2 linked regions of the Oryctolagus cuniculus genome follow. The protein of the gene in region 1 binds, or shares a complex with, the protein of each later gene. Links are inferred from orthologs where the notes say so. Each region holds a gene or a part of one and is shown on either strand. Other genes may lie near its edges.

What was found. The genes of interacting proteins can lie anywhere in the genome.
Region 2: GTF2A1 (region 1) and POLR2C share a complex: the UniProt entries of both Homo sapiens proteins name them as parts of the TBP-based Pol II pre-initiation complex. The link is inferred for Oryctolagus cuniculus from reciprocal best matches to the Homo sapiens genes GTF2A1 and POLR2C.

Annotation. Positions count from the first base shown.
Region 1 is NC_091451.1:27,040,142-27,045,999, forward strand, and holds part of GTF2A1 (transcription initiation factor IIA subunit 1), read right to left. Parts: intron 3,723-5,858; coding exon 3,518-3,722; intron 1,964-3,517; exon of another isoform or gene 1,820-1,963; intron 1,392-1,819; coding exon 1,327-1,391; intron 1-1,326. UniProt on the Homo sapiens protein: TFIIA is a component of the transcription machinery of RNA polymerase II and plays an important role in transcriptional activation. TFIIA in a complex with TBP mediates transcriptional activity.
Region 2 is NC_091449.1:41,014,753-41,020,236, reverse strand, and holds the start of POLR2C (DNA-directed RNA polymerase II subunit RPB3), read right to left. Parts: upstream 4,146-5,484; 5' UTR 4,056-4,145; coding exon 3,970-4,055; intron 3,807-3,969; coding exon 3,757-3,806; intron 2,119-3,756; coding exon 2,050-2,118; intron 1,912-2,049; coding exon 1,859-1,911; intron 1,385-1,858; coding exon 1,256-1,384; intron 907-1,255; coding exon 855-906; intron 679-854; coding exon 510-678; intron 413-509; coding exon 338-412; intron 1-337. UniProt on the Homo sapiens protein: Core component of RNA polymerase II (Pol II), a DNA-dependent RNA polymerase which synthesizes mRNA precursors and many functional non-coding RNAs using the four ribonucleoside triphosphates as substrates.

The DNA.
Region 1 (5,858 bases):
ATGGCCGCCGCGGCCGGCGCACCGCGCTGATCCGATGGCAGGAGCCAGGTACTTCTCCTGGTCTCCCATGGGGTGCAGGGTCCAAGCACTTGGGCCATCCTCCACTGCACTCCCTGGCCACAGCAGAGAGCTAGCCTGGAAGAGGGGCAACCAGGACAGAATCCGGTGCCCCGACCGGGACTAGAACCCGGGGTGCCAGCGCCGCAGGCGGAGGATTAGCCTAGTGAACCGCGGCGCCAGCCTGCTTATATATTTTTACAAATACTCCTAATTTGGATAAGCTTAGAGGAACAAATAAAACTGTGTTCTGGAAGTGTTAATGGCCAGAAAATTCAATCAAACTTGGAAAATCATACTAAACTGGGTTAACTACCATCTAAGGCTCTAAGTACAGCTTTCCAATAAAATATGCTTACTGTTGCCACCTGACGTCCTAAGTAGCTGCTACATCTTGAGCCTGAAATTCCCTGTTACAGTCTACTAGATTCATTCATCTTTAAGCTACATACCCAACTATTCAATATAAAATAAATTTTGTCTATATAGCAAAACAAAAAGGTAATCCAAATTTAATGAACGTATTAGCACTTATCGTTGACAAGTATTATTTACAAACATAAAAGGCCTATCGTTCACGTTTTGCAAGATAATAGTTCTCCCTCTACTGGCAAACTGACATAGTAGTTTCTACTAGCATAAACATGACACAGTAACCAGCTGCACACTTTCTACATACTCAAATAGCTGAATAAATATTTGTGAAATGATATACCATAAGGAAACCATCTTTCACTTAATGACTACTAAAAATTTTTTCTTCTATTTCATTAAACAGCCCAAATATGAATACACTACATCATTTCAAAAAAAGAACCAGGAAAATTAGTTTGATGATATAAATTCCTTGAAATATCTTTCTGATTAATTATATTACCATACCACATTTTCATGAAATCACATATTTTTTCAAAATGTTGATTTCTATAGCACACAGCACCATTAGAAAAATCAAAACTATTTTTACTGAGTATCTTCGAATTGGGAATTACCCAGTTTTAAACAAACAGGGATAAAAGAGCTCCCATAAAACACCTTTTGGTACTTTTTAAACAGAAAATTACGTAATTTTATGAAGCTTAATGCTGAAATACCAAGTTAAACTTTAGATCTGCTGCTAAATACAATATATAAGAAACTAAATAAAATATCTGTCTTGTTCAAGTCTTCAATAAACTTCAAGTTGTTAATATACAACATACCCAGGCAAGATCCCTATCTGAGTTAGAAGACGCAAAGCCAATCAAAGTGCTACACTATGAGTCTTACCATGTTTGATGCATTCATGTGCTGTATCAGCTTAGAATCAGGAACAATAACTTGAGGTGCCGTGGCTACAAAATAATTAAATCAAATAAACACACATGGAAACAAGGAACCCTAAGGCTATTTCATAATCACAAGTATGTTATTTAATGCTGAAAACTTTTTCTGCATTTAAATGCCCTCAACCCCTTGATACTTCAAAATGTTATACATTTTACAGCATTTAAAGCTCTAGTATAACTGTATCATAACAGAAAACATCAATATTTAAGTATTTAAGTGATAAATTTGAAGGTTGCAAAGGAATTCAGTAAGATGAGGAAATGAAATACTTATCACAACAGCTACTAATTCATTAGGAACAAAATTCAGTTATAACTACTTTTTTTAATCTACAATCCTTTTCTCCCAATTTGACAGTTGCTAGGATGTTACTAATTGTTCGAAAAGTAGAAATTGAAAATAATGGTGATGTTACTTAAGTGTAAAAGGCATTAAATGTTTGATTCCGCAAATTTCAGAGAACAGACAGACAATCCCATTATCCACATAATCTCTGAGTGAAGAAAATCAAATTTTAATTTATGATGACCTAAAATCCTAATGCCAGGCTTGAAAGCATTAGGAGGAACAGTCATCAGAAAAGATTAAGAGTTAAAAATATTTGATAACAAAGGATAGATTTAAAGCAGATATTAAATCTTACTTTATATAAACAGCAAAACAACCCAAAAAGACCTTTCCACTGTGTATCACTATCATTTTTTTCACTTTTTTTAAAAGAATTATGTATGTATATATGTATATATTTGAAAGAGAGAGAGAGAAAAAAAAACAGAGAGAGACTGTGAATTCACTGTTCACTCCTCAAATGCCTACAATAGCCAGGGTTGAACAAGACTGAAATCATGAACCTAAAACTCCATCCAGATTTCTCAAGTGGGTGGCGGGGACTTAAGTACTTGGGCCATTATCTCCTGCCTTTTCAGGTGCATTAGCTGGAAGCTGGATCAGAAGCAGAGCAGTCAGTCAGAACTTCAACCAGTACTCTGATGTGGTATGCAGGCATTAAAAGCAGCAGTTTAACCTGGCTGCTCCACAATGCTTGCCCTTCACTATCAATTTCAAGTCATACACATATATATGTAGGTTAACTAAATGGTTACCTTAAAACAAGCTTTTCATTTACCTTCTTCTCCAATAACAATCAAGATTCACTGAATTAGAATACTTAGTAAGTTTTTAATTGAACATAGTTGTTATGACAGAAAATATTTGCTACATATAATGGATCATGCTTCTCAGCCTTTTTAAGGCCCAGATTTGCCTCAGCTATGAAGCAATGGAGCTAAGAACTATTTCATAGAGTTCCTAAAAGGAGTCAAAATGAAGCCTCATCTTTCTTAGGAGATAGCAGGTGATGACTCAAGTACTTAGGCACCCGCCACCCATAAGAGAGAACTGGATTGAGTTCCAAGCTCCTGGTTTCAGGCTGTCCCAGCCCACACTGTTGCAGGCATTTGGACAATAAACCAGTAGATAGAAGGATCTCTCTCTCCCTTTCTCTCTCTCAGCCTTTCAGTTAAAAATAAATGAAAAACAAATAGTTTTGCATTGTGCATTGTTCATACCTTTAAACAGAGTAATAATATACATCAAGATATATAGATCAACTATTCACATAAAAGAAATTTAATTGTTAATTTAGACACAGAAATTACCATGGTACTGAATTTTCAGAATGCCAACATATGGTTCAAAACTCAGGATTTAAGACATAAAAACAACACCAATATCCCTTTGAAGGAAAATGTTTCATGAAGAAATAACTACTTTACTATATAAAACAATGAAATCTTAGTTAAAAAAAAATTATAAATCTGACTTAAATTTTAGGAAAGCCACCACTATATGTACTTCCTAAAAAACATTAGTACAAGTATCTGAATACTATTTTAGGGTTTCAATCAGGTAATTATTTGTCTATCACTATTCTACAAATAGGACTCACATTTTATACAAATTTATATACATAAAAACATACATAGAAAAGGGAAAAACAAAATCAGTACTTTTTTTTTTAGGTTTATGAAATACCTTTTAAAAACAAGATCCAAGTGACCTAGAGTATTTCTAGTCTTTTAAAATGACCAACTTAATTTCCAAGTAGTTAGGAAAACAGATCTAGTCTCACCTTGCTGTGATGCAGGAATAAGGACCTGCTGGGTCTGGGCTTGCTGAGGTACTGTCTGCTGAGGCTGAGCTTGCTGATGGTGGTGGTGGTGGTGATGCTGTTGCTGCTGGGGTTGATGTTGCTGTTGAACTTGCAATAAAAGTTGTTGCTCTTCTGAATGAAATCCATCTACTGCTCTAGACTGCATTAGTTTATTCTCCCACAACTAATGCAAACAACATTAAAAGTTTAAAAATGAAAAAATAACTCAATACATGGTCAAACATATTTTTACTAGCTATTTATGGAATTCTTCCATTTAAAAACTTACATAGCACAAAAATATAACCTCAAATCTCATCTAAGTGCAAAGGATAATGAAAACAATTTTTTAAAGTATCAAACTTCCTCTTTGCCACTTTAGCAACCTAAAGAAATTTTTGTTTTTATCTTCAACCATCTTTTCATAGCAACTCTTTAATCATCAGCTATTATATAGCACAGAGTTTCAGAAAAAGATTATCCTTTGTAGTATCAGAACCATTATGAAACTATCTTTATGGAATTCTTCTCTTCAAGAATTTTATTTATTTGAAAGGCACAGTGACAGAGACAGAGATCTTCTATCTACTGATTCACTACCCAACTGGCAGTAATGGCCAGGACTGGACCAGGCCTAAGCCAGAATCCTGGAACTCTATCCAGGTCTCCCGCATAGGTGGCATGGGTCATCTTCACTGCTTTCCCACGTGCACTAGCAGTGAGCTGGATTGGAGGCAGAGCAGCTGGGATTCCAATCAGCGCTCTGATTTGGGATTCTGGTATTGCAGGCAGGGGCTTAAACCAATGCACCACAATCCTTCACAGTACTCAGAAACTCTGTTGTTTGCCCCCTTTAAAAAAAAAAAAAAAAAGATTTATTTATTTATTTGAAAGGCAGAGTTACAGAAAAAGAGGGAGACACAGAGAGAAGGATTTTCCATACACTGGATCACTCCCTAAGTGACTGCAACAGCCAGGGCAGGATGAAGCCAGGAACCAGGAGCTTCATCCAAGTCTCCCATGTGGGAGGCAGGGGCCCAAGCACGTGGGCCATTCTCTGCTGCTTTCCCAGGCATTTTAGCTTGAAGCGGGATCTGAGATGGAACATCCATGACATGAACAAGAGCTCATACAGGCCCCCAGCATTGGAGGCAGCAACACACCACAACAATGACCCAAGGAACTCTTCTGTCAATTCTAAGTAAAGAAAAAACAAACAGCATACTTGAACGTCTTAGAGAGATTTTTTGCCCAACCCTCTACACTAATGAAATTTCTCTTTTTCCATTATGCCAAGGGATAGATCTTTTCTGTGGAGCCATTTCTACAGATTGAGCTTACCTAATCTAAAAATCAAAACAAGCCAAAATCTGAAACTTTGTGAGCATAAACATTATACTACAAATGGAAAATCCATTCTTTGTTTATTGCACAAAATTACTTAAAATATTGGATAAAATTACTTTCAGGCTACATGTATGATGTGTATATAAAATATAAATGATTGCGGCCAAATCATTTATCTTTCTTAGGCATTTTTCTCAAGAAAAAGTGGATAAATGGAATTACATTACATCTAAATTCAATTTCAGTTAATAAATCTAAGTCTCTTCAAATCCTAGATTAAACACTGTTATCATCTTGTTGTGGTTACAAAGCATGACTTTTTGAGAGCCCAGACTATGCCTTGTTCACCTTAGCAAAGTAGGCATGTGTAGCACATGGTCAAAATAACCACTTATGAGTCAAAAAAGTATGAACATAAAGTAAGGCTTTTACTCTGCCATCACTCAAACCTACATCTATTCTCCTCTTCCAAAACAATACCTAGTTTCCTGTGAGCTAAAAATAATAAAATTAAAAAACAGTATTATTAATGCCTTGTTAAGAAACAGTTTTTAATGTTTGACTTCTATCACCTCCAATTGGTCTATACACTGCAATGTGGCTTTCATGAGCATGACAAATATTAATGAGTGCCTATGATATATGGCTTAGTGTTAGGTACTATAACTCACCTACCCTCCCACTCCAACAACCTAGGAGCCAGAATCCAATGTAAAATCCCATTATCACTATCAATTCCCCTCACAAAGCAGTTTGTCTATTCTTACTTTTATGGCCTGATCTTTTCTTCCCACCAGTACTACTGCAAATGGTAGTGATCTAGTGACTGAGCTCACTGAAATTCCAGTATCAAGACATGCATTCTACAAGTAATTCCTAAGTATCTCCTATAAGCCACAATGTTACAGGCAGGGACCAGAAAGTAAACAAACTTGACAAAAATTCTTTTTCTCATATAGCCAATATTACAGTG
Region 2 (5,484 bases), on another chromosome or scaffold:
CCCAAGATTGATTCCTGGCTCCAGGCCTGCCCAGCCCAGGCCTGGCTGTTGCAAGCATTTGAGCAGGGAACGGGCAGATGGAGCCCTGCTCTGCCTCTAACTATGTACGTAAATGTGTGTAAATTGGCTTGGACCTGAACAGTCTGCACACTAGGGGCTGGAAATCAGAATGGGAACCATCTGGGTGAGTGGAGAGCCCCTTTCTCGTAACCAGAGGGCATGTGCACACAGCACTACTTTAGTTCAGTGGTGAGCAGCAGCGGCCCCTCGGCTGATGACTGAGCCTGCGGCAGATGCCATGCACTAAGACCCCGCCCCCCGTGCGACCAGGTCTCACCTCTCGGGCTTGCCGTTGGGGTCATAGGGAGCCTGAGACTCATCCTCATCCAGCTCGGAGTACTCGCTCTTTGGCCTGAGGTCAGAGAAGCAGAGGCTGCTGTTCCCAGACCGCCTGCCCCACCTCCGGCACCAGCAGCCCTCTGCACACCCGCCTTCCCCCTGGAGCATACCATTCCTCGGGCTTGGGGTACACCGTGTGCCTCAGGGCATTGTCTGGATCGTACTCGAAAGCAACCCCCGCGGTGGGGTTCCACTTGGCGTGTTCCTTGCCAAAGCCCTTTTTGGCGTAGGCTCGGAGTCTCAGCTCCTGGCCCTTTCTCAGCTTGACGATGAGGATGTCTGCGAGGAGAGGTGCGAGTCAGTCCCGGCCAGGAGCGTGGCTCTCCCCGCGTGGACCGACAGTGCCGCTGAGGGTGACACGCGACGCAAACACGGGCCCTCGGCCACTTTACACGAGTTCGGGCGGCAGGAGAGGCTCTATCAAAGGTGACGCACGCACGCTCTCCAGCCCTTACCGTCCTGCTCCACGTAGTCGTTGGGGTCATTGTCTCGATTCCGGGACGTCACCTGTAGGGAGCCCAAACCCAGGCAATTGTCAGCTGCTCCTCCCACAGCACCTCCAGACTGCACTCTGCGCAAGCGCGGGATGCGAGAGGGGCCGGCGGAGGGGCCTGCTCCATGGTGTGGTCAAGACCCCGGCCTCTCGGAGGGCCCTTGGGTGACGGACACAAAGAAAACCTAAACTGCATCATCAGCGGCCGCTTCTCTCACCCCAGCAGCTGCCAGCCCCAGTGCTGCTGCTGCCCGAGCAGAAACCAGCACCAGGCTGGTAGGCATCAGACCGGGACCCGAGCCCTCCGGCCGCCAAAGCCGGCCACGGCAGAGCCCCGGGGGAGGGGGCGCTCCAGACACTGACCGGGATGACGCGGGGGCTGTTGGAGATGAGGTCTCGGGACGTGACGTGGCGAGTCTGGTCTTCGTTACACCGCACGTCCAGGGTGAACTCCACCGAGCACTCGGGGCAGAACTCCTCACAGGTGCAGTCCTGAGCGGAGAGGGAAGCTGGAAGGAGCCCACGGAGAGCCGGGAAGCCCCACAGCTGCCTGCTCGGCCCGCTCCCTGAGCCGCTGCCTGCGTGCAGGGGGTGCTGCTCTTGTGAGACAGCGCCCAGCCCCTCTGCTCCTTGCCCGCACCTACACCAACCTCTGTGCCTCTGCCCCCCGACCCCGGGGCAGGGGTGGTGGTGGTGCTGTGGAAGCAACAGCCCCTGTGCTGCACAGGCAGGCCCCCTGGTGGCTGCCCCTCTGTGGGACTGGCTCCTGAGACTTCCAGACGGACATAACCAATGGGATCCTCATCAGCACCAAGCCCAAAGACACCTGCCTCGGGCTCTGGACAACATCTCCGCCGTCTCCCTACAACCACGGCGCAGTCCATGCTGGCAGCCAGATGCCAAGGACAAGTCCTGTGGGCCCTTAAGCCCCTACCCGAGCCACACACAGCCACTCTCGCAGCATACCCGGGAGTTCTGCAACTTGTCCACGATGTCGTCGCTCGTGAGAGGAATCAAGCCTGTAAGACACAGACCCGCGCTTTCAAGGCAGCCAGACAGCCATGCCCAAAACGAGAGCCCACAGGCGCCCCGCGGTGGGGAGGCCTCCTGCGGCATCGGCCGCACCGTCCCTTCACCTCCCCCAGAGCAGCACTCACCGAGCCGGTGCGCGATGAACTCGTCATGCAGGACGGAGGAGTTGGCATCGATCTGAACCCAGTCAATGGCTAAAACGAGAAGGGGCGGAGGTGAGACTTCATTCAGCAACCAAATTCCCCAAAGCTCAGGGCAGTGAGTGCCAAGATTCAGGAATGCCCGGGCCGGGCCAGGCCGGGCGGCCGGGGACTGACTGCAGCAGCACCGGGCAGGGCTCAGGCACCACGCAGGCACCGCGGCCCCTGCCCGCCCGGGGGGGAGTTCAGGCAGGGGCTTCCTGGACCACACGGGAACGCCGGCTCAGAGCGCCTCACCGCAGCAGGCACACCTGCTGCCGATTTCTGTGAGAAGCCAATGTATCTGCCACCTGTGCCAGTGCCAAACAGCCAGGAACACAAACGATTCAGCCACTGCGATGAGGGAAACTCACGAACAACGAACAGGCCGACAGCAGGAACCGCGTCTTAGGATGTAACGCTGGCCCACCCAACGAGCATTTCCTCATCACTCAGCCGACACAGGTTACTGCGTCCTGTCAGGAACCAGGCAGCTTACAGAGAAACCGGTCCTTGCCAGCAACGAGCTGGCAGCACGGTGAGGACTGTCTCACACCCACGTGACTTCAACCCCACTTTACTCACTCATTCATACAAACGCCGAAATCAAACAGGGCTGCTGCCCAGCTGCCAGGGGGGGCATGGCCGCTGGGAGCAGAGGTCAGAAGGGGACCAGTCGTCTCAGGCCCCAACCCAGGCCCCTCTGCCTCTTCACGTACCCCCGGACCCCGGCTGCTTCCTGGCCCGCACTTTCCTTCCTCGTGCAGCTCCAAATCCCCCGAGCCTAAAACCCGAGTCCCGCCTGCGCTTCAGACTGAGCCGTGAGCACCCCCGGCCTCTGAACCCCGCTCGGACAAGGCCAGCTCTGACTCCCCTTAGCACAGCGGTCATGCTTTGCTCAGTGTCGGATTTGTGTCTCATCCCCACCGCAGGCTTGGAGAATTCCTTGAGGCCGGGTCTGAGCTGCCTTTGTTTGCCCAGCATGGGTGCGCATTTGCAGAGCTGAGAATGTGAAAAGCGGGGCCCACCGAGGCCCAGCGGGGCTGAGGCGACGGGGGGCGGAGGCGGCGGCTTTAGCAAGCAGCTGGTGTGTGCCGCTTCCTTCAGAGTCTGAACACTTGATGCAGCAGCCACAACATCTCTTTTGCCAAACGCAAACTCACTGAGCTGACACAAAACACCCCTGGTATTTTACACAAGCACAGTCAACGCAGAAAACACTGGGGCACAGAGGCCAGAGGCCCTCCCACCCCTGCGGGCCGCTGCTGCGAGGTCCTCGAGCCCCGTGCACATCCATCAGAATCGCTCACTCACTGGTCCCCGCCGTCGGCCTGGTGAGTAACACCAGCGTCCAATGTCTCCGATGAGAACCAGCAGCACACAGAAGGGTCACGACTTGCCTAAGTTCCACCGAGCGCGCGCGTGGAAACCGCATCGGAGCCCAGGGCAGCCCCTGCCGAACCCGTGCTGCTCCGCGAGGCACACGGCAGGGGGGCCGAAGTGGCCAACGGGGCAGCCGGGCCAGAGGCACCGGGTGCGACCCAGCCTCGGCACCTCCACCCCCAAGCCAGGCCTGGAGGCGGCACAGGTGCGTGGGGCCTTGGGAAGCCGGGGAACCAGTGGTCCCGGTAGGGTGCGGCGGGGCTCGCTTACCTATTATAGGCACCTCCGCGATGAAGACCCTCCGGATAGAATTGGCCACCCTGAAGGACGAGAAAGCGAGAGGCGTGAGGGCGCCGCAGCCCCGACAGGCCGGCCCCGGGCTCCCAAAGCTAAAGCCCTGGCACGGTGGCCGCCGTGGGAGGGCACCCCCACCCTTCGGGCCGGCTCGGCAGGGCCGCCAGCCTCTCCCCTCAGCAGCCTTACGCCAGGTCCGTATTCTCGATGATGAACTTGACGTTCTCGTCAGTGAGCTCGGTGATGCGCACCGTGGGCTGATTAGCGTACGGCATCGCGCCCCTGAGGCCTCCTAGCCGGCCCCTCGCGTCGCCCCCGTCGCGCCTGCGCGGCTCTGTCACCGGAAGCCGGACAGCGCGGCCCCCGCAGCTTCCGCCGAGACGCGCGAGCAGCGCCCCCTGCCGCTGGGAGGCTGCGGCTGCACCATGGCCCGCATTTTCTACTCCCCACCCCACCACCAGTCTCACCCAACTTGCAAGGTAACTTGGCAAGACCTGCATATGCCCTTGAATCAACAATAATACGTCTAAAAATTCATTCTGCCAAGATGTTTGCAGTTGTAAACAAAGCTACAGGGACATTCAAGACAGTACTGTAATAGCAAAAGGTAAACAAGACTGGTCTATGCATAGAGACCTGGTTAAATAGATACATATAGGCATACCATGAGGCCTTTGAGGATGATGTGAATTTGAACACCCATGGGAAACAATGCGTGGCAACTTTCAGCAAAGCATCTCTCAATGATGGTGTATGTCCTTCCCTTCCACCCTCAAGTCCGGGTCGCGCACTTGTGGACACTTCCGTAAAAGGCTCTAGAGACCCTAAAATGGAATGTGGCTGCAGTAGAGTACCCAGGAAGGGGTTCACCTTAGCAGCAGGCGCACCTCTTCCTGAGACACAGGAAGGGCAGGAGGCGGTTCTTGCCTGCCTGTCATCTCAGTAGGTTAAGAATTACGGTCATCTCCTGAGTGTAACATGGATGTGATGAATGCGATGAAACGTGGGTAGCTGCTGCAGGAGCCTCACAGGTATCAGGGAGTAACCAGAGAGGCGCGGGGCCCGGGGAAGGCCCACAGGGATCTGAAATGCGTCCACTTCTGACTCCTCTATCAGTATTTGGCAGACGTGGGCCAGAGCAAAGCAGATGTGCAAGGGAGCCCAGGTGGTGCACAGGCTGAGATTACTGACACTGACGAACCTATCACTAAAATGGTGACAGACAAGAGGGGCCAAGGGAGCAAGGTGTCTGGGGAAGGCCCCACTGCCCCCATTTTACTGATGGGAAGACCTGGTTCAGAGGCAGAGTTGTCCAACCCCCCAGCATGTATTAGGCAGAGCCAGGGCCAGAACTCCCGCTGGGGACATCTATCACAGTCTATATGGAAACAAACTACATAAAAGGAAGCAGCCTCAAACATTTATTATAATTTTTACAGGTTCTGAATACACTAACAATCCCGCAGTGCGTGCTGGAGTGATGCGACACCAGGCCTGGGCCACGCCTCTCAGTGTCCAGCAGGCACCTGTCTCTGGGGAGGCAGCTCTCTGAGGGGTCCCCGGGAACATCTCAGGATGCCTGCAGCGTGCTGGCAGTGAGCTGCCACCATCCGGTGGATACCAGCCTTGACTCAGCCTTAGCAGCCCCCAAAACCGTTTCAAGGAAGGTTATGACACAAGGGAGCCCGTGAGACCATGCAGGGA